Astyanax mexicanus: one gene and its partners. Each later gene encodes a partner of the first gene's protein in a complex. Links are inferred from orthologs where the notes say so. Each region holds a gene or a part of one and is shown on either strand. Other genes may lie near its edges. The genes, in order: eif4a1a, pdcd4b and kank1a.

Region 1 (7,568 bases):
TACAAGGGCCAGGCAAATCTGAACCTAACTGGTGTTTACAGAAAAAAAAAAAAAAAATTCCATTTAGTCAGCAAACCAAGTAATGCTGTAACCCACCTCACAGCTTAAGAACTCAATGACTCACAACTGGTGGTAAATGATGAGTAACATAGCGGTGAGTCATGTTGAATATGTACCCATAGCATGAAACAGTCTTTATCTCACTGTACTGAGTAGACTGGGATGAATGGGTAATTTCAATTTTCCCCTATCAGATATAGGACTAGGTGCCACTGACAGACCACTGCCTTGCCCAGATGACAAGGGTCATTCTAAAACATTTGCGTCACCTCACAACAGAACAGAACTACTCACGCATGTAACTGGATCTTACTTGTTGGGCAAGTTCTCTGGTGGGGGCCAGGACCATGGCCTGTGTTGCTTTCATCTCAATGTCAATCTGCTGCAGGATGGAAATGGCAAAGGTGGCAGTCTTCCCTGTGCCAGACTGAGCCTGTGCAATGACATCGTATCCTGTCAAAATAAAAGTCAAAATTTAAGACAGGCCAAGACTGGCAAAATAAAGAGAGGCTTTCCATCAGCAGAAATCTACTGTAGGAACAGCTTGCAATCTGTACCCATACCATGAAACAGTCTTTTGCTCATAGTGGTGAGTAGACTGGGATGAATATGGGCTGTGTTTGATCTTCCCCTAACAGATATAGGAATCTGCCACTAGCAGGCACTTCCTTGCCCAGATGATAAGGGAGGCACAACAGTAAAAAAAGTATTGGTGCATTTAACTCACAAGAGCACATGGTGACTCATGTGTGAATCGACCATACGTATATAAAAGGTTGACTATTCTACACAGAAATATTGTCTACGTACCCTTGATACAAGGGAGAATAGCCCTCTGCTGAATAGCAGAAGGTTTCTCAAAACCATAGGCATAGATTCCTCTGAGAAGATTCTCACGGAGGTTCATGTCATCGAAACTATCGACGACTTCCTTCCAGTTGCCCTGTGGAATAAGCAGAAGTACTTTAGTCAACCTGTAACAACGAACTTTTCAGAAACACAATTACAGGTAATTAGACAGATGGATGATTGAAAAAGATATTCAACACACCTCAATGACTCCATCTGGCTCCATGCCCTCGGGGCCATTGTCTCTAGGTCTAAAAGGAGGAGAACAAACCAGAATTAATGCAATGTCATGTATTGGAAGAAAGTAGAGTAATTTGATCTTTCAGACACATTGAGATTTTGGATTTCAAATTAAAGCTCCAATTTTCATAGTCACTTTTCACCTGCCTCAATAAATAAGACCGAATTTAACAAAGGTAATCGTTGGTTTAAAACAGAAAAGTTAATCAAATGAGAAGGACGTGGATAGAAGATTTAGCTAAGATGGAGGGGGAGCGGACACCGCCAGACACGTCGCAGTTTTCTGTGAAAAAGGCTTTGGAGGGCGCCATCTTTGCCCTCACGTTTCACACGAGTTTAGCTTAGCTAGCTAACGAGGAGCTAGGCTACAGAGCTACATTAAGATTTTACACAGGCAATCGGGTTAATATAACATTTAAAGAGGAACACTGAAGAGACAACACGCACTACTATTGTTTTACATGACTTTAGACTACGAATACTTCAGATTTTTTTAGCTAAGCATAGATCTTTGTAAAGCATGTTAGCTTTAGCTTGTTAACTAGCTAGGCGTTAGCTGACTGCAGCGAATAGCTAACCTGCGAAACGCAGCTCGCTAGAGACGAATGAGCAATATAATCTGGGTTATCTAACTATAATAATCTAGTTTAGAGATCAAGAGTGAGCTAATCTGGCTACTATTAATCTCAAATTTCTTCAAATCCGAAGTGACTGGAGCGATAAACCTGGCTTAGCTTGTAGCTAAACTAGACTCCGGCCTGCTCATCCCATATAGCGGAATTCTCCATTGTCCAAACCGGCAGGCCATGTGCTCCGGTCTTCTCATCGAAATTAGTTCAAACACACACAGAAATCGTGTATTATGGCGCTAAAGCCCTACAATCCGGTTTATTTTAAATGTTTAGATCGAAATAACTAAAGCGTAAAACAGTACTAAACATGTTGAGTGAAAACAGCGCTGAACAGAGAAAGGGAGGAAGAAGCGCCATGTGCGGCCCACGAGCCGGTGTTCTGTCGAAATGTGCTACCTTACCAAATCGTGCTACCAAAGTGTGTATTTAAACATAAAAAAATACCAGAAAAAAAAAAGCACATTTAAAAAGTTGCTCGCTAAAAAAAAAAGTCTCGGTATGAATTTTGGAAAGTCTAAATTCTATATTTTAGGGTTCTGTTAAATGACAATGGGTGATTAGAACCACTTTTTTGTATTTTCCATGGTCATATCATAACTATATAAACTTTAAAATGCGCATGCGCACTGGTCGTAAAAAGCACATATCAACGGGTAGACCAATTCGACAAAACACCGGCACCCAGGCCGCCACCGCTAACCTAACTGACACGCTCAGCTAAACTAAGCTAAGCTACCGAGCTAACCGGTCAGGTCACGTTGTGTTACAGGAGCCGGCACGTTTTAACATAAGGATAGAAAACGGGCTAAAACACCAAATTAACATCGATACAGAACTAATCCGACCTAAATAAACACAATACACGCATTTACCGACATTAATACTAACAATTCTCGCATTTTTATCTACCTAAGCTAGCTTAAACCAGCGTTCTGCCGTGCCCCGCCGTTTATTCGCTTCACAGTCCGGTTAATCTAAATTTAACACTCATCCAGGTCAACTCGCTCCACCGCTGCCCAAATGTAGATATCTAACGAGTCAAATAACGTGTTTAAATATATAAATATATATAGAAATTTATATTAGGGTAAATTAGCACCCACGCTACTCTCCCAGCCCTCACTTACCTATCCTCATGTTCAGCCGACATTATCACAAAGAACAGCACAACGGCGGAAATGTGTTAAATACGCCAAGGCACCGAGGCCTGAACAATTGTGATTGGAGGAGAGTCTCGTCAATCAAAACCAAGGCTTTCCAACGTGACACCTCATAGGTTAAAACGTTAAATTCGTCACGTCGCCCTGGCACAGCCCGCCCCAGGCTTGACGTCAAGGCACAGTCTGTTCTCTAAATCAGTTTCTTTGTACATCAGCTTTTAGAATAGAAAATATGACTGCGTAGATTGGTCTATCCATATAAGAAGTATTTTACTGTGAATTTCCTCATATGTAGACAAATGTCCTATGTAGACAAATGTAAATATTCAGACAAATATACTTTATTTCTTTAAAAAACTTTTAAATGTATTTCTTTTATTACTCTCATACCCTAATTTGCTGTTAAAATGTTCAGTCTCTTTTTTATTCACATTACACTGATCAACTACCCTGCTAAAACAATTTAGCTTAGGACCAGCTGGTTATCATACCCTTTGCTGGTCAAGAGCTCTTCAAGGAGGATAAAAATAATGAAAAATAATACAAAAAATATATATACACAAATAAGTCACAGAAAAAATGATTCTTTACTTTTTTGACAGTTTGAAAGCAGAAGTTTTCAGTTTAATTAAGTTAATGTCACTTTGTTTTCCCCAAGAAATCTTTTACCACTTTACTTCACATTTTTCTACCACTGAAATAAAACTAATAAGGGTTTTTTTTCTCAAGTAACCTCTCCTAACATTTTTGGGATACAAGATTTTTGCAGGCTACTGAAAAGAACCAACTTTTCATACAATCATCGGAACTAAGATTATAAAGTACATTCAACCTGACCAGTTACTCTACAGTTCATTGTAAATGGTATGTGTTGCTACACTGGAACTACACAAAATATGTGGTTGAAATAGCCAAAAACTGTGGTATAATCTAATCTAATATAATCTAGTGTAATCATTTTTTTTTTTCAAAGAAAGACTGACAATCTGATATGACATTTTTTCTGCTTTTGGCAATGTAAATAATTACATTACAACCAGAACCTAATACAAGAGAAAAAAAAATGCAATACATTGCACCGTGTTGCCAAAATCTAAAAATAAACTCAAAATATCCATTATCAAACCTGGCAATGATATTATGTATTATGTATATAGTGTATTATTATTAAGCATATTATTATTACATTCCAATGTACAAAATATACTTGTTGCCAACAGTTATTTAACCACACTCACTCATTCATTTTCATAAGGCATGATTTATTGAAAAATAAAAGTGAAATATGATTATGCTTGCACATCTGAGTAACATGACACTTCCCCACAATTAAAAAAAAGATTTGTAACACCTTTACAGACGGAGGCAAAATCATAGAAAACACTTTGGAAGCCTCTTGCAAGAGTCCAAAATGGCTCCCATTAAAATGCCACATTTCAACAAAGCAGCCATTAGAAAAGACATTGGCCACCACAAGCACAAGAAAGTAACACTGATACAAAACAAAAACAAACAAGTGGGTTTGATAATGCAGTGTCCAGCAATGTCCTGTTTTTTTTTTTTTTTTTTTTACACAGATGGAAGTTTCCAGATGTTTTGTTCTTCCTCCTCTGGCTGCATTGCTTTGACATAAGTATCACAGTGAGAGCTTGCAGTGGCAAAGCTCTTTGTACATTAATCTCCTCAGTTTAGGCATGTCCTGCTGACTGAAGCTAAAGAGCTGTCCCAATGCCAGACACTTGCAGTACTAGAACAAAACAGAGTAAGAGACTCAGACCAAGTGGACAAATATTTGGGGAAAAAAGATCAGGTACAAAACAGAAACCAAAGTATAATATATATATTTCTACATATCTTAGATATAGTTGATGAAATTCAATTCTTTAATACACTGGAACTCTATTTTAAATAAATTTGTTCAGAAAAAAATAAAAATAAATGAATTAAGTAAAATCATACCTTTCCAAATGGTAGAAAGTGGCATGGTGATTTAGTTTTTTTACTTACCTGAAGAACGAATGCCCCACAGTCACTGTCATTATTCTGTCGGCCTACATTCTAAAACACAGATATGACCTCTGTTAACACAGCAAACTCAGAACATAAACCATCATATACTAATAACTAATGTAAGCAGTTTACAAACCCAATATCTAAATTTCTAACAACACTGAAAACTGAAAAGTTGGAGAGAAAAAAATTTGGCGAGAAATCCAGGTCTAGTTTTTCAATACTTGAGGCTATATATCAGCCAGCACTGCACAATCAAATAAAAAACAAACAAACAAGATGAGCAAAACGTAACCAATGCAGGTCAAAGTCATAATACACATTCATGTTTCACATTGTCATGTGAAATAGAAGTGAGCTGGGGCTAAACTAGAAGCTTGGCTATACAAAAAGTCTCTATTTAGGTGGGAAATCAGTAATTGTAAAATTATTAAAATAATAATATTGCATGGTGAACATTCACCCAATTACTGAAACAAAATGCAAAACATGCTAGCTAACTTGATTACCACAAACAATAAATTACAAAAGTGAGCAAAGGCCAGATAAATGCATATTCACTACAATACCTTATGGAACATTATTGTTTTTTTATCATAAAACTGTATATATAACTGTCTCGGTTGCGGCACTGGGCAATTTGTGTGGCAGCTCTTTTCAGCTTAAGACATATCTGAGCGATTAGCACGCTGGCTTACAATGAGCAACAAAATCACAAAGAGGTGATACAACAGTTTCGTTGCAGACTGACTGACTGACTGTTTATTTAAAGCCAGTATGGGAGGAATGGTCTATATAGACACAACCTGGGATCTTTACTGTTTTAGGTCTGTATATCTGAAATTGTTAATACCGGTGAATCCCTTTAAATCTAATGTAATTTTGATCTTTATAAAAATAAGAGACAAATACATACAAAGAAACATGTACAGTGACCCATACATTTCTTAAGAAACACTTTGTGGTCATTAGTCAGGTGTTGAATAACTTACCATTTTGAAAAAGCCTCTCCACCCTGTGAGAAAATCTCTCTGTTGTTTTATGATAGCTTCTGCCTGGAGGTACTTAAAAATATGCTACAAGAAGAATAAGGAAAGAGAACTGGTTAGAAGCTGGTTAGAAGCATGCCTGCAAGTTTACGCTGGGAAAAAATTAACAAAAGCTAATTAGAAAACAAATAAGCACACAAGAGGTGCTGACCTTGGGACAGCGACGGTTAAGAGTTCGCTGGGAATCAAAGTAGGTGATGAACCGTTGCTTAATGTCCACAGACACTAGTGACCAATGCACTTCCAGATGAATAGGAATCAAGAGTAGATCCTTGCTGAAGATATCAACCTGAAATCAGTGTGTAAAGAAAACCAAATGTATTACGCACACAAATACACACAAGTATAAGACTTCCATTGGTATTATCGAAAACAACAAAAGGCTCTAAAGGCATAAGACTTCCATTCCATTCTGTTTCTTTGTGTAGTCTCAAATGAAGAACCATGAAAAAAAAATGACTGGATCAGTAAAAAAAATAATCTCTTTTAAATCAGAGGAAAAATCTTACATTTTTTGTCCACCGCTTAACCCCATCATAACCTTTAGTTCTGAGCTTGTCATAGAAGAAACTGTTGAAGAAATGAACCTAGAAAACATGGATTAAAAAATATTTATTTTATATGCATTCAGCCCATTAAATGACCTAAATCATATCATATACAATGACAGCTTACTTTCACAAGATATTGTTTTTGTGTATTTTGTCCACAAAGAATGTAAGTGTCATATTCACCTTGTCAGGAACTGTATCCATTACAAGGTCCCCATACATGTTCATAACCTGAAATAAACAGATCAACAGGGAAAATAAATAATTAACTATAAGAGTTACACTTAACTATCCTAATTACAACTTTCCATTCTTTACCTGGTCATTAAGCCAGTTCTGCCCATAAAGGGTGCTGAGATCATCCATGGTCAGGACATGGCGCTTGTAGTTCACACTGAACCCTCGCACCATGCTTGTACCCGGGGAGCGCTGGTAGGACTGGATTATCTGTTGCACCTCTGCCTTCCTAATAAATCCAATTGAAACAAATTTTGTAAAAGATGTATGTGTAGTATGTGTGTATGTGTATGTGTATGTTCACTAGGGGTGTCACGATTCTCTAAATCCTCGATTCGATTTCATTTTCGATTTGAGGGTCACGATTCGATTCGATTCTCGATTTTCTTGTTTTTTTTTCTTGTTATTATTTTATGCCTCATAAAATTTAAATAATATATTTATTATTATTATTATTATTATAAATATTATAAATATTATTATTATTATTTATTAAGATATATATGGTAATGCCATCTAGTGACTTTTTTTGGTAGCAACAGTGTGCACTATTAAAACAAGCAGTTTATCAGAGCTGTGTGTGGATGGCTGGTGAAACTGCTCATTACATGAAGCTGCAGTTCTTCATCCAACCACTAGCAGCAGCAGCACAAGCCCCGCTCTCTTCACTCAGTCACTACTTCAGTACAGCCCAGCCACGGGCTACAGAGCTCAGCCAGTCCGTTTTTACTGTTTCTGTAATCAAATAAAGGTTTTAACCCCACTAACCGGATAATACAG
Region 2 (7,522 bases), on another chromosome or scaffold:
ACATTTATTGAATGTGATCCAAAAAAAGCTCAACATTTAAAAAAAGACAATAATAAGCACTTACCAAATGTGCTCAGCTAAGAAAAACATAGTGCATCCAACAAGAACTAAATAACTAAAGTACTGATCTATTTTACTGTGCAACTTCTATATTCAGATTCACCAGCATGCCTTCAGAAAAGACCTTTAACTAATAAAATATGTCTCTATTGCCTTTTGTAGCTTTTGTTCTGCTGGATTCACAGGAATGTGAATTTAAGTTTGGTTATTTTTTAATGTGATGTACACTGGACGTTCTCAGAAACTGGATAAAGACGCAATTTTTCTGATTATGAAGTGCCTTTTATACAATCTGTATATTTTTTGCTCAGGTGAGGAGAAATAAACTCAGTAAAGTCAAGATAATATTTCCCATGTTTTTACAGAGCTGCTTTTTAAATGTGCAACTTTTATAAAGAAACAAGAATCATCAGTTCTGCATAAATCTGTCCATCAGACAGACCAGGCCTTAAATTAATATCTGGAAAAGCGTGTTTATTAATCTATGCTGTGTATAACGCTCAGACAGTAGCAAAACTTGAACTGGACCATGTGAGTTATTTATGATATTTAAAATGAACTCCTGTAAAAACAAATGTGAAGTGTGTGTTATTGCAGTAGATTACAGCAGCAGAATGTGTTTTTTTGTATATTAATAATAATATCGCTGTCCCACTTTTGAGATCTGTGAAGTTTCTTTAAATATTTTGTGGGATGTTTTAATGCAAATATTTCAATAAACAGTTTTGAGAAACCTGAGCTTTTTTCTGTTTCAGTGTGTGAAAAAAGACAAATACAACCATATTAATGATATTTAAATTGTTGAAGAAAAGTTGATTTGAATAAGGTCTATACACAATATTGTATGTACAAACATCATTAATATTTGGGGTAATGTCTTAATGTTTTAATAATAATTATAAACACCACAGGATGCAGCAGCATCAAATTAAAATAAAATCTTGAAAATTAAGTTTAAAGAAATGATGCGAAGGCTTTCTGACAGTGGGCAAATGCATAAGTTGATATTGGAAATTGTTATTTTCAACTATTATTGAAATGAGAAATGGCTAAAATTACAAAAAAGATGCAGAGCTTTCAGACCTCAAATAATACAAAGAAAACAAGTTCATATTCATAAAGTTTTAAGAGTCCAGAAATCAATATTTGGTGGAATAATTATTGTACTGTGAATCTTTTTATAATTTATAATATAAACAAAAAAAGTTTGGTTCAGTTGAATCGGTTCATTGATTCATTGGTTCATTGATTCATGAAGGACTCGTTCACAGCAGCGGTTACGTAACGCTGCTCCTCTGTGATGGGCCCTTTTCACATTTCCGGGTTTGGAATGCGGAAGTAAAAAATAGCAGGGTAAACAACGCGTGTAGAACGTATAGACGAAATGGAGCAGCATAGGAAATGCTACTGCAGCGAGCCTTTCTGCTCAAATAGCAAACGCAAACAACCAAACCTGAGTTTCCACGACTTTCCAAATGTCACACGTTTACGCGGTAAATAGATAAGAGCAATTAGGAGAGAGGAAAATGCCACATTTACGGTTCTGCGCGGCAGTACATATGCGTGTAGCCAGCACTTCAGGCCGGATGAGCTATATGTCAAAGCGGGAGGGAACAGAGCCAGGAATCAGTTTCACCACGATTCGCCTGGAATAATTTTGGGAGTCGATATGAAAACCGCCTGACACCCTACGAGAGGGCAAGTACTCGTCTCGGTTTGAACACTGAAGCTGCCATGGGACAGAGAGACGAGGAGGACCTGAAGCTATGCTAACCGAGCCAAGCACGATTACTGCCGTCCACCGTCTCCTGGTGAGTAATTTTACAACTCTTATATCCATTTACACAATAAATACACAAGCCAGCTACCTAAATATCCATTTGAATAATTAATAATTACCTGAGTAATAGTCTCAAGACAGGATACCTACCAAAATAACATTGGAGATACAATATATACTGAATAACCGTATAAACTTACAATTCATAACTGAATAAAGTCTTAATAAGATATAATTATTTGGATTAAGTCTTAATATGCAATATTTACTTGAATAAAGTTTAAACTTACAATTAATACCTGAATAAAGTCTAAATATGCTATACTTATTTAAATAAAGTCTTAATATGCAATACTTACCTGAATAAAGTCTACACCTACAATTCGTACCTGAATAAAGTTTAAAATTGAAATACTTATTTGAAGTCTAACTTGCCTAAATAAAGGCTAAATATTCAATATTTACCTAAATAAAGGGTCAATTTGGCATGTTTACCTGAATTACTGACTTGTGTCCGAGATATCATTTGTTGTTTAAAAACTTTCCAAGCACAAGTATGGTTTATGTATTATACCAAAGAATACCAGTATTTGTTAGCTAAACATAGCACAGTAAAATATACCAGTTTACCTAATTAGTAATTGGTGTACAATATAGGTCAATTCAGAGTTTGACTTAAATTTTGTCAGATTATCTGTCAATATAAAACTAAGCTAATGTATTTTTTCCCCCCTTTTGTTGCAGGCAAAGTGGACGCTGCAGCTGCACGAATAAGGGAGCTGGAGCAAAAAGTGATTGAGCTGGAGAATTAAATAAAACAGCTTGCAGACCAACCTAGGCTTAACCATTTCTGCTCAACTAAAGAAGAGTTCCACTTTTTCCACACAATTTTCCTTGACTCAGTACAAAATTCTGTCTAAATATTTTAGCTTTAACTTACCATGTGAGCTTCATTTGTTTTTTGTATTTTTAGATTTTTTAAATTTGAGTGTTTTATAAATATAATAAATGAAATACATTTTAATCCTCTTGTCCCAGGTGCTTTGTATTTGTTTTATCTGTAGACAAAGTCATAGATGATTTGGTTACGACTGTATTCACTAGGCATACCATTGCAGGAAATACAATATTCTAAATATACAGTTTAAACAATATAGCTAGTTGTCAGAAATTATGCATTTTTTGAAGCACAACCAAAATGTTATGTTTACCCAAAATATCCTGATTTTTAAAGTTAATTAAAATGTAAAATAGTTCCATGACACCCAATACAAATAGATTGATTCAGTAAACAAAATGTCAATGAACTGAAATGTTTTCTTGCTTGTTGCTGGCTCTGCGCTACATAAAAAGACAATTCAAGCAAAGAATACAAGTTTATTTAGAAAATTCCATATTTCCACAAAAAACAAACTATAACAGAACATGCTGCTGGGAGAGAGACTGTTTTAAAGCCCATGGTGCTTTAATGGGCAATCTGATAAAGCAGAGCAATAGTATGATTGGAAAAGGCCTTCCCCGCAACACTTGCACGATGTCTTTATTACCTCCACAGGATCTGGGTGGTATGAAGTCACCTGTAATGCAAAGCACAGACATACTGTCAGCTCTGAGAAACATTTTTTAAACGGTACAAAAAGCACCAAATGTTCATATCTATATTTAAGCCATTCACAATTACTACTACATCTTTAACCTCTTGGCTGACCCTAAACAATCTACCTGAATAAGTTAACCTCCTAAAAACCAAGCAAAAATTTAATATGATGGACAAATTAACACTTGACCTTCACATTCTACATTCTAAGTGGTTGGTATATCTGCTTCACTACAGACGACTAACTTTGGCCACTGGCTTAACCTACCTAGTGGGAAGCTAGCAACACATAGAATCATCTTAGGCTTACCTGAACTGTTTCACCTACGTACAAGATAACTAGGGTTAAATGTGGTTTAATATATTTTTTTTCTCCCTGTCGATTAACTTTCCTAAACCACCTGCACTGTGTTTGAAACTGTATATACAAGGGAAAAACAGTTCTGTCTTCTATCCAACTCAAAGCCTTAAATAAGCACATCAGATCCTGGGCAGTAGCTACAGTAATGGTTAAAACAGAAAAGAAAACATTAACTAAACAGCTACTTAGCATTACTTGACGTACTGTTGTCTATCTAAGTTAGCAAGCTCGCTAGTTAGCGGTAGCTAACCTAACTGAATTGGAAGCCTCGCTAACTTGTATAAAAATAACTACTTACCCTCAAAATTAAAGATGTATTCCTCGACAAAAAGCTTGTAATCCTTTTCAACCTTCGATATTTTCGCTACTGATACCTCATCTATAATCAGTGAGATGTCGGAGAAAGAAATCAATAGAAGTTTGTGCAGAGACAGCAGTGAACTCCATTCTAGCGCCGCTGTGTTTACCCTGCTAAACCAAACCGGAAACACGTCATCAAGCTCTGTGAAAAGGGCCCATTCAGTACCCAGCTCCACCGCCAGGGGGCGGGGCCTGCCCGGACATGTCCTCATAGAAAACACCAGAACGATTTTCTCACGCCGTGTTCTCATTGGTGGATTTGCGGCTCAACCTCCAACAATGCGGCCAATCAGAGGGCTCGCCTCCCAACCTTAAATAACCGGGCCAATCAGAAAGCAGAAGGGAGAGCTGGACGCGGCCGTGTTGCTGGGTAGAGAACAAAGCCGAGACACAGATCTGCGTTATAACTTAAAAAGCGAACAGGCCGGAGACTGTAAGTGATTTATTCCGCTTTTTATTGTTTAATTGCGGGTTTTGTGTGTTTTTATATCTTAAAGTGTGTCTGTAATCGCGCTCGGGTGTTTATTTCTGTGAATAAATGCTTTATTTTGGTGCAGCGGGGGTTTGTTTATGTTGTGGAGGCTGTGGGCTGACCCTTTAACTCAACTGCAGCGTTTATTCAGTTTTATACCATAAATTAACACGATTATACTGAGTTCTCCTGCATTTTCTGACTGTAGTTCAGACTTAAACCCAATTTATTAGGTTCTAATCTTACCTAGTTAGCGCTAAAATAGCTAACGTTACCCTACATTCATTCATATAGAGTTATAACCTACGGTAGATTGACGTTAATGTGAGAGCTAACAGCAGCAGTAAATTAATGAATCCTGTTTTTATAACGTTAATCTAACACTAGCTAGCTGGTCTTTATTTCTATATAACACTGAAATTCCCGCGATAAATGTGTTTTTGCTTTAACCTGGATATTTAATTTAACTGTGCTCTGTTTGGCTTCGTACTGGAATTTCCCTATTCCACCTTAAACAGCCCTGCAGTACCACTGCGCTGCTTAAGGTGGAATGATGGTAATGTTAATCAGAAACCAGCTTTACCTCCCTAACAAACTAAATAAATATTTACCTACCTTAAATATACACTAACTCACTAACTAAAGTGATTGCTATTTGTAATATGTTTATTTCAATTTTAAACTTGCATCAACAGACAAACTAGCAACAAACAAACTCATTTATAAAATATTAAAAAAGAGATATCCACCACATTACTGAAGTTACACACACTTATAAACAATCCCAGTAAAAAGAGAATAAATACAAATCAGACTATCCAAAATATGTAAAATAATCTTATAGAAGATTTATCTGCATACAATCACAATTATTGAAAAATTGAAGATGATCAGTTATCATATTTGGTTAAATAAATCTGTTGATGAATATAATATACAATCAGAAACTCCATAGCTATACACTCTCTATACACAATTTTATCCCAATTTTTAACAGGGGGAACCTCATCACTAATCCTAGACTGTAAGAGATTCTTCTTTGCTGAATAAATCAGAATATTTATATAATCTTATCTTATTTTTATTTTTCAGTGTTATACTTGGAATACCTAAAATTGAATGAAAGACTATTGAGGCCTGTATCAACTCAAATTTTTCAAATAATACCCAAAACTGAAATCAATACTTTTCTATTTTAAAACATGACCAGATACACTGTGTATAGCCCCCTACTATTTGGGCAGTAAGGAGAGAGAGTTTTGGGTCAAACTTATTTTTAACATAAGGTATACTGAAACTGATTTTCCTAGCTTTATCCCAGACCTCATCCCAATCATCAAGTATAACTACTGACAGCTCTTTCTCCCAGCTCTGATCAAGATCATCTGTATTGGTTTCAGAAGTTAAACCTAAAATTAAGCAGAAGCCAAAAATCTGATTATTTACTGATATAAATGCTGTGTAATCTCTCAGGTTGTGTGGTGTTCCTCCTCCTCCTCCTGCTGCTGATTACTCACCCACGCTCAAATAATGGCAACTGACTGTGAGGCCTGGCTCAACTCCAACCCAGTGGGTACGTTGATTTTTGTGTTTAGCTCTTATAGGCTAGTGCAAATCTCTGTCTGTCATAATTTGAGCACACAGACTGTGCCTTACACTGTCAAAATCTCTTGATAAATAGACCAATAGAAAATCTCCAAACTCATCTGGAATAAATAAACTCTCTTTGCATTGAACTCTCCAGCACTTCAGTTACAAATGAACAATTAGTAGTCACTGAGATTTGTACTTTGCAAATTCTAAATTAATCGATAATTTTGATTTATTGAGACTAATAATTGCAGCCATACATCAGTTACTTCCTTCCATTCTCATTCTCTGTGTGTGTGTGACACATGACTTGCTCTCAGCTTAGTCACAAATTCTCTTGCTTTATTTCTGATCCTTCAGGTATTTTTTATGTTATCTGGTGTTAAATCGAGGAGGATGGTTCTTTTAACACACTTCTTCTCTCCTACACACAGAGGAAGTTGCCCTGAGCGACTCTGATCAGTCTGGGAATGAGGAGAACGGCATTCAAACCAAAATTTTTGATGAAATAAACGGGAACTGGATCTTGGCTCCGGCTGGTACCGTCCACGAGGCTCGTCTCAAGGCCAAGGCCAAGCGGCGTCTCCGCAAGAACTCCTCCAGAGACTCGGGCCGGGGAGACTCGCTCAGCGACAACGGGGACGCCGTCAGGTCCGTCGCCCCGCCCACAAGCCCCAAGGGCAGAGTGCTGGACCGCAGGTCCCGACTGGGAAAGGGCCGAGGACTTCCAAAGAAAGGTACCAGAACCTTCACCTCAAAAACCTGCAGTGATTATTAGTTTAACATGATCTGAAGAGCTGTGTTTTTTTTTATGTTTTATAATTTCTTGCTGGCTCTTGTTTGCCTTTTTTTTGTTTCCCTTTTATATTTCAATTAACAGCTTTGTTTTTTTGTTTTACTGTTCCTCTTATTTCTTTTTTTGTCTGTTTCTTTTGAAGTTTAAAGCTCACCTTCTGTTTTTGCTGATTTGATCATGTTTAATTCCAGATTTTAAGGTTTATCCTTTACATCATTCTTTTTAATTATGTACTTAACTAGTCATTTCTTAAGGAAATATAGTTTTTTTTTTTTTTCACTTCAGAGAAAGTGTTATTTACACATTAAACCCTCAGACGCTCCTACAGAGGCTCAGCAGTCTTCTCTGAGGAGTTGTGGGAAGACGGGCTCCACATGCTGCCGGTGCAGCAAAGCAGAAGCTAATTGAACTGAATGCCCTGCAGAACCAGCCTGCAGGCATTTAGACATTAGACCAGCCACACAGATATGACTTGTGTGCATATAAAATATATATATATTAGGGCT
Region 3 (7,146 bases), on another chromosome or scaffold:
CTCTTTTATGAATAGTACAGTGAGTTTAATCATTTCTGTGACATCATGTGACATGTAGTTAAGCAGGTTTTTTTTTTTTACACTCTGGGTAATGGAATGGGTCATTGATCTTAACTGATGATATCCTTAATAATAACCTTAAACTTTATTGTCGATGGCTAATAATATGCATCACAATACTATATCAAATATAAAATAGCTCTAGTGTTATGTTGCTTTAGCAATGTTTTACCACTGTATTAATATGAATAGTATAGTATACTGTAGCAGTTATGCCAAAAAAAATTGTATCATAAAAACATGAATTCAACGAAGAAGTAAAAAAAAAAAAAAATGTTAATTTAGAACGAAAGTCACAGATAAGTCAACAGGTTTTAGAGAGTTTCTATTGGTCTATTTATCATGAAATTTTTAAATAATGTGAAAAAACAACATATGTGAAGCCATATTTAAATAAAAACAGCTTTGTCCATGTTTTTGTTATCTAGTTTTTAAAAGAGGAAAAAAGAATCCAACAAAAGCTCGGAATAACACCAATTATGAATATTGTGCAAGATCTCATTTGGGGTCATTTCATAAAAGGAAAACGGAACAAAATATCTCAGTGAAAACAAGCATCGTTTGTTTGTAAGACATTTTTGCAGAGAGGAGGTTCTTCAGTTCTGGTCCTTGAGGGCCTGTGTCCAGCACAGTCTGCTGATATCACCTTTCAAGAACATCTGATTAAACTCACTTGTGTCTAGATTGCTAGATTTAGTCAATGTGTATGTGATATGATCCATTTAGCCCACACTGTTACGTAAATGTTTCCCTAGGACCAGAGCCTACGTGTGTTCAAGCCTACGTGCCAGTATTCTTTTGGCTTCATAACTCAGGTTCAGTTTAATTTAAAAACATGATAAATGCACCTAACTTTAGCGGTGCCATAGACCTGCCATAATGTATCTGTTTGTTTCTTTGGAGACTTTGAATATTTGTGTCACAATTTGAGGGTGACATTATTTAGATGACCATATTAAGTTAAGTGCTTTCAAACAAATGTATTACTAAAAAGAGAAAGGAGGGACAAAGATGGTATCTGATTGATATGGGTATCTACAGATATTCAAGCATGCAGTATAATGCCACAATGAGCCTGAGATTTGCAGACAATGATGTTCCACTCATTATAGCAAGTTATGGTTAGTAGTAACTGAATGCTGTGATGTTCAGATATTTTCCTAACAGTAGGTTTAGGTTGTATGTACAGTAGCTTGTATGGAGATTTAAACATTGCTCAGCAAAGCATGTTGATGATAAGAAAGTGTCCAAATCCAAGTCTACAAGTGGTGTTAGAAACTAAGAAATACAGTTTGTACTACATATAAATTGCACTCGATCAGCCAAGTCATTTGAAACAGACACTAGATGCCAAAGATTTGTGAGATGTGACCTTTACAGCTAGCTTTTAGCTACATTTTATATTGGAAAATAGTGATACTGTCTGTAAATCCTACACTTTTGTTAATCCACTCCAATACTTAGCCAATGAAAATTATGTAATATTTGTTTGGTATTTTGCCGTGTTTGTGTACGATATCCTACAGATATCCATGCATAGTATGCAGATATTATGACAAATTCTCAAGTCCTGTCACAATAATAATGTCAATTACTAATTGTCCAATGTATGGCATGGCCTAATTCATTATTCATGTTAATAGAAAACAGCTGGTATGTTGATTCTAATATTTTAACCTAGATATCACCTAATATCGCAATATTGCAGTTTATCTGTAGAGTCTACAGCTCTGGTAAAAAAAATAAATAAAATAAGAGACCACTTCAGTTTCTGAATCAGTTTCTCTGATTTTGCTATTTATAGGTATATGTTTGAGTAAAACGGACCTTGTTGTTTTATTCAATAAACGACTGATAACTATTTGCAGAAAATGAGAAATGGCTGAATAACAAAAATTATGCAGAGCTTTCAGACGTCAAATAATGCAAAGAAAACAAGTTCATATTTATAAAGTTTTAAGAGTTCAGAAATCAATATTTGGTGGAATAACCCTAGCTTTTAATCACAGGTTTCATGCATCTTGGCATGTTCTCCTGCAGCAGTCTTACACACTGCTTTTGGATAACTTTATGCCACAAATTCAAGCAAATAAGCATGATTTGATGGCTCGTGATCATCCATTTTGCTCTTGATTATATTCCAGAGGTTTTTAAATTTGGTAAAATCAAAGAAACTCTAATGAATTTTAGGTGGTCTCTTATTTTTTCCACAGCTGTATATGCAGCTCTGTATTCAACACACCACAAACAGCACTTGTTGTTTTTAAACAGCAGTTATTTATTTCCTTACTAATAAAAAGAGCCGAAGCTGTTTAGGGGAGAAGAAACATAGGTTCCTAAATCCCTTAAAACTCCTAAAATAATTCAAACAGGAGAGCAGGTGTGAGAGAACTGAGAAACCTGAAGGAGAACAGGGTGGAGAGAAAACACGCAGTAATTCAGGTAACCTAACATTGTCCAGCCGGCCAGCTATCAGATATCACCTCAAAGCTTCGAGAAAACACCAGGTCTCAGGACGTTCAGTGCTGATGGGTTTCTCATCATTACAATTAACGTTACATATCTTATAATTATGGTCTGAATTAAGACGCTGGAGTGGTGCAGTCTCCAGCAGACTCGAGCAGAAACACTCGGTCTGAGGACTTTCCTGAACTTCTACACCTCAAGTCTGAAGAGTCCGTTTTAAACGTTTTAAACCGATTAAAAACACAAAAAACACACAGAAGTGGCTCAGAACTCACCGCTCGTGCTGGTCCGCAGCGCTCTGTCATGAAGTTCCAGGCTCGGGTTTCGCAGGTTTCCCTCACCAGGTGTTTGTGTTTAGTCACGTGTTCACTGCACAGACCTACAGCCAGACTCTCCTTACCGCGAGACTGTGTTCAACCACGTTTAAAACCTGTATTTGGATGTTTATGTCTCTCTCCCTCTCTCTCTCTCTCTGTTCTGCCCTCTGTTCAGCTGCAGTGCCTCCTGTTCCTGCACTTCAGCTCCTGTACTCACCGCGGCGAAGCGCCCCCACATCTGCGCATGCGCACGGTGGCATTGATAGTGCAGCTTATGCTGCCCATACACTATACTACTTTAAAAAAAAAAAACTGAAAATACTTTGAACAGACTAAAGTCTGACACCCTCTCACGTCTAAAGACAAGTCACAGACTTTTTACTCACAGACTTTTTTCTCACAGGCTAAGATTTTGCAAAAAACGGGGATCACTGACTGCAAGATTCTTTTTGAGATTATTTCCCATCATGCTTCTTGTGGAGTTTACATACAATACATATTGCATATTAAATTGCAAATTGTCTATCAATACTGTGATTTATTAGAGACTCACAACTTTTTTGTCCATATCAACACTTTATTTTTCTGCCACACTGTTAGTTCTTGATATTTTTTAATGGATCACATTTTATGTTCAACTCTGCCTATAAGCCTCCCCCTCCCACCTTTTTTTTGTTACAACCTTGTATAGCAAAGATTCACAGTTTCACTGCTATTCATTTGCCTTTGTTTAAGATAAAAATGCAATAAAAAATATAATTCTTGCAAAATCTACTTACATGTTTAAATCAAAGTAGTGCAAAATATAATGGTTTTAAATAATGACTTTAAAGTGCTACCTGTTTTTAAAAATACTGTACATATTAAAGTAAAAACCATATAAGGCATATAAAGTGCGAAAAGTCGAAGTTTTTTTTTTTAGATCGTTTGTCACGTAAAATATTCTTGCCTATTCTGGCTTCCCGTACCTCTACTTTTGATTGTTGACATTGTTCACGTCACTATTTCACGAGTCATCTTGATCGTTCAGTGTAAGGTGGTTAGGATTGAAGGTTTAAGTAAGTCTTTTTTTTTCTCGTCCTGGCATTCAAATAAAATAAACCAAGAGCCAAGTCAAGCTCGTTGAAAAAGTGGTGGCTGACTTCCCAGGTATCGGAGGAGGCATGTGCTAGTCTTCACCCTCATGGTGTTGGAGCATTAATAGTGATAGGTAGAGTCATGGGCGTGGTAGTGGGGGGAAAAGTGGACCTGACTACCCAGGGCCCGAGTAGGGAGAGGGGCCCATGAAAATCCTGATTTTTTTTTCGCTCACTTTCCTTTGTTTACTGGCATGGATAGGGGCCCATTAACATAGAGGGTGTACAGGGCCCAGAATTTGCTGCTACGCCCCTGGGTAGAGTAGAGCTTAGAAGCTGAGCGGGTGGGATGATTGACATAGCTTAATTGGGGAGAAAAGCGGGATTTAAAAAAAAGGACTTCGATTTTGTTATTATATTACACTAGTCAGATCATCTCTAAAACATCAGGCTTAGGCCTTCGGTCTTTTCCCAATATACAGTGATCAGTACCAAGCAAAAGTGGTCCAAGATGAGGTCATAGGGACCTAAGGCTCTTTGAAGGAATTTAGGGAGAACGACCTCACAGCTTACTGGACTTGTGACAGAAAATGCTGTTAACCTCTTGGTGCCAGATACCACAAGACACTCTGAGAGGTCTTATTTCAGATTTGGCCAGATCTGTTGTGGTGGCAACAAGGGAGACCCACTCAATATTATGCACTGGTGGTACTAATGTTATGGCTATGGTTATGGATCAGTGTATATATACGTTACCAGTCAAAATACACACATAAAGCACCCCTTGCTCAATGCTTTTCTCCCGCTTTTGTGTTATGTTGTGCATTTTGGTGTTAGATGTTTCCATCATAACTGACAACGATTTAACCACACAAAGATGTGATATTTAGATTTTTTTTTACTTTTTTTCTTTTGGGACCTTTTTGAAAGTGTGTAGAACAGTTTATTCCTAAACTTGTAAGGAATACTGAATTTATTTGTGTGTGTGTAAGCAAAGCTAATAATCAAGCTCAATCCGGTGACATTGAAGTGCTTTTTGGGCCAAAGAGCTCACTTGTTCAAGATGTTACAGCAAGTTAAACATTAGCTGTGTTTTAGAACTCAGTGTCACCTTAATGTTATGCTACATTTAACACACTGGTACCAAAAATAATGGCGCTTTATAAAAGTTTCCATCAGTAACAACATATATACCTTGGGAAACATCCAGCTATTCAGAATGAAATGGCTTTAAATATGTGCAGCTTATCTAGCAGCTTGTTACTGTACCTTAGGGTAAATGCAGTACAGCCTGGCTGAAGGCCTACTTTGGAAAGTTAAGCAACGACCTTCCTGTATTTCTTTACATTACGTGATAATCATTAGTCATCTTAAATGATACATACATTTATATCTTGTTTCTATATTGACTAAACCTGATAGCAGGTTGGATGAAAATAACTTTCTGTGTGTGTGTGTGTGTGTGTGGTCCACATAAGGGCTTAATGAGGCTTATCTTAAGAGCAGTAGACCTGAAGGTGAACCTTTATAATCCTCAAGGTTAAGACAGTGTGTATGATAACACAGACTGCTTGTCTGCTCAATCTCTTATTGATTTTAAAGTCATTAATATTCATAATCTATAGCTTTCTATAGTTTTCACTGAACACTCTATTAGTTATTTTAAACAAGCTGTATGTCTAAAGGTTTACTGAGGGTATTCATAGGGAGTATACCCCTCTTTGCCTCTGTAATCATTTAACCCAGGGGTGTCAAACTCATTTTGGCCGAGGGCCACATTGGCATATTGGCTGTCCTCTGAGGGCCAGATGTAACTTATAAATGTAATAAAATGTAACCAAATGTAATATAAAATGAATGTAATTACTCTTTAATGTTAAATAACTCTAAATGGAAAAAATGTTTGCTTGTTGCTCTATTAACATAAATCCTTTTAATTTGTCATGTTATGAAATCCAAAAACTCCATCAATCAAGAACCAAACTATTCAAGTGAATAGAAATGACATAAAATACAAGTTATATTAACTTTGATCAAAACGTTTGATACTGAAATAAGGCTTAATAAATATAAAATCAAAAATTGTGAGCTGTTAAGAACATGTGATAGATTTAGCATTTCCTCAGATTTAGCAGTTCCTCATCCAACCACTAGTGGGAGCTGCAGCAGCAGCACAAGCCCCCGCTGTCTTCACTGAGTCAGAGCTACAGCCCAGCCACGGGCTACAGGCTCAGCTGAGCCAGTCTGGAGCGTTTTTAAAACATTTTAAGTTCTTCTGTGTAGGAAATAAAGGTTTTAACCCCACTAACCGGATAATACAGCTCTCTACAGCTCATCTTTCAGCACAAGCAGCTAACAGCAGCAGTTCAGAGCAGCGTCACGGAGTCACTGCTCGGATTAACGTTACATTATAAACAGGTCAGTTAGCGCGCTGCTAACCTCAGAATGTTTATAACTACGGAGTTTAGTGCACACACCACGGCTGCAGGGTTAGACTGTTGAAGGCTACTGAAGACTATAAAAGGCTATTGGAGGTTATTGAAAGGGTTATTGGAGCAGAAATCAGTACAGGCTGGTTAGATAAGTGATTCACGTCTTCGTCCTTCGCTGCGGTGAAACTGAATAGCGCTGACACAGTGATGTTTATTAAAATCATTAAAACAGATTTTGTCAGCTATTGTCTTATAAATATTTACACATAACTTATATCTCTTCTAAAAAGCGTTTATTTTGGTCAGTAACACTCTTCGTAACACAAAAGGCATACCGGTCTTTCGCCTTGAAGCACAGCCGTCCGTCTGAATCAGCTTCTCTTTTTCTGGACATTATGGGATAAACATTTCACCCGCCTTACGCCTTCCCTCCGGCAGGGTTTCCACATCAATGACTACACTGCCGTGTAGTGGCAGTAAGCCGTAACTTCGCGGGTAATACAATCGACAAGCATTGTGGGAAACGTAGTTTTTGGTCAAAGCACGCTTCTGATCCATTTATTATAGACACTAAGATCTTACAAGCTCTCGCGGGCCACATAAAAGGACGTGGCGGGCCACATTTGGCCCGCGGGCCTTGTGTTTGACACATGTGATTTAACCTATTCTGAAAAGGCCTTAGGTTGCCATGACCATATTTCTTGAACACACAGGCATTCTATGGTTAGGATGTTGTGGTGGGGGGGTGTGGGGGGGTATCAGTGTCTAGGCATAACCATCTCTACAACCTTTTAA

What was found.
Region 2: the proteins of eif4a1a (region 1) and pdcd4b are in contact, whole or in part, in a crystal structure (PDB 2ZU6), measured with the Homo sapiens proteins. The link is inferred for Astyanax mexicanus from reciprocal best matches to the Homo sapiens genes EIF4A1 and PDCD4. Residues at the interface, in NP_001407.1 of Homo sapiens: Gln75, Thr109, Arg110, Glu111, Ile135, Gly137, Val140, Thr158, Gly160, Arg161, Asp164, Glu186, Leu188, Ser189, Arg190, Gly191, Phe192, Gln195, Ala214, Thr215, Met216, Pro217, Glu240, Leu241, Thr242, Asn280, Thr281, Arg282, Arg283, Thr329; in NP_055271.2 of Homo sapiens: Pro170, Gln173, Glu174, Glu177, His178, Glu183, Glu186, Met187, Asp190, Leu209, Glu210, Lys212, Glu249, Leu250, Leu252, Asp253, Thr254, Pro255, Arg256, Gly320, Gln321, Gln322, Ser323, Val324, Leu327, Glu348, Lys352, Glu355, Val356, Pro357.
Region 3: the proteins of eif4a1a (region 1) and kank1a are in contact, whole or in part, in a crystal structure (PDB 7DDX), measured with the Mus musculus proteins. The link is inferred for Astyanax mexicanus from reciprocal best matches to the Homo sapiens genes EIF4A1 and KANK1. Residues at the interface, in NP_659207.1 of Mus musculus: Lys99, Val140, Arg141, Val144, Gln145, Lys146, Leu147, Gln148, Met149, Glu150, Ala151, Arg168, Arg169, Tyr170, Ser172; in NP_852069.4 of Mus musculus: Gly1168, Asn1169, Asn1171, His1175, Tyr1176, Val1178, Asn1201, Lys1202, Ala1203, Tyr1205, Met1209, Leu1210, Leu1213, Ala1214, Ala1215, Gln1240, Ala1241, Leu1248, Ser1251, His1252, Arg1254, Asp1273, Glu1274, His1285.

Annotation. Positions count from the first base shown.
Region 1 is NC_064415.1:26,207,247-26,214,814, forward strand, and holds the start of eif4a1a (eukaryotic translation initiation factor 4A1A), read right to left. Parts: upstream 3,002-7,568; 5' UTR 2,932-3,001; coding exon 2,909-2,931; intron 1,161-2,908; coding exon 1,112-1,160; intron 1,004-1,111; coding exon 871-1,003; intron 514-870; coding exon 374-513; intron 1-373. Other genes in the region: senp3b (sentrin-specific protease 3b), read right to left, coding at 4,578-4,688, 4,949-4,999, 5,944-6,027, 6,152-6,289, 6,510-6,587, 6,735-6,782, 6,870-7,017. UniProt on the Homo sapiens protein: ATP-dependent RNA helicase which is a subunit of the eIF4F complex involved in cap recognition and is required for mRNA binding to ribosome.
Region 2 is NC_064430.1:22,176,171-22,183,692, forward strand, and holds the start of pdcd4b (programmed cell death protein 4b), read left to right. Parts: upstream 1-4,486; 5' UTR 4,487-4,591; intron 4,592-6,103; 5' UTR 6,104-6,160; coding exon 6,161-6,203; intron 6,204-6,654; coding exon 6,655-6,957; intron 6,958-7,522. UniProt on the Homo sapiens protein: Inhibits translation initiation and cap-dependent translation. May excert its function by hindering the interaction between EIF4A1 and EIF4G. Inhibits the helicase activity of EIF4A. Modulates the activation of JUN kinase.
Region 3 is NC_064429.1:18,694,515-18,701,660, forward strand, and holds the start of kank1a (KN motif and ankyrin repeat domain-containing protein 1a), read right to left. Parts: upstream 3,053-7,146; 5' UTR 2,802-3,052; intron 1-2,801.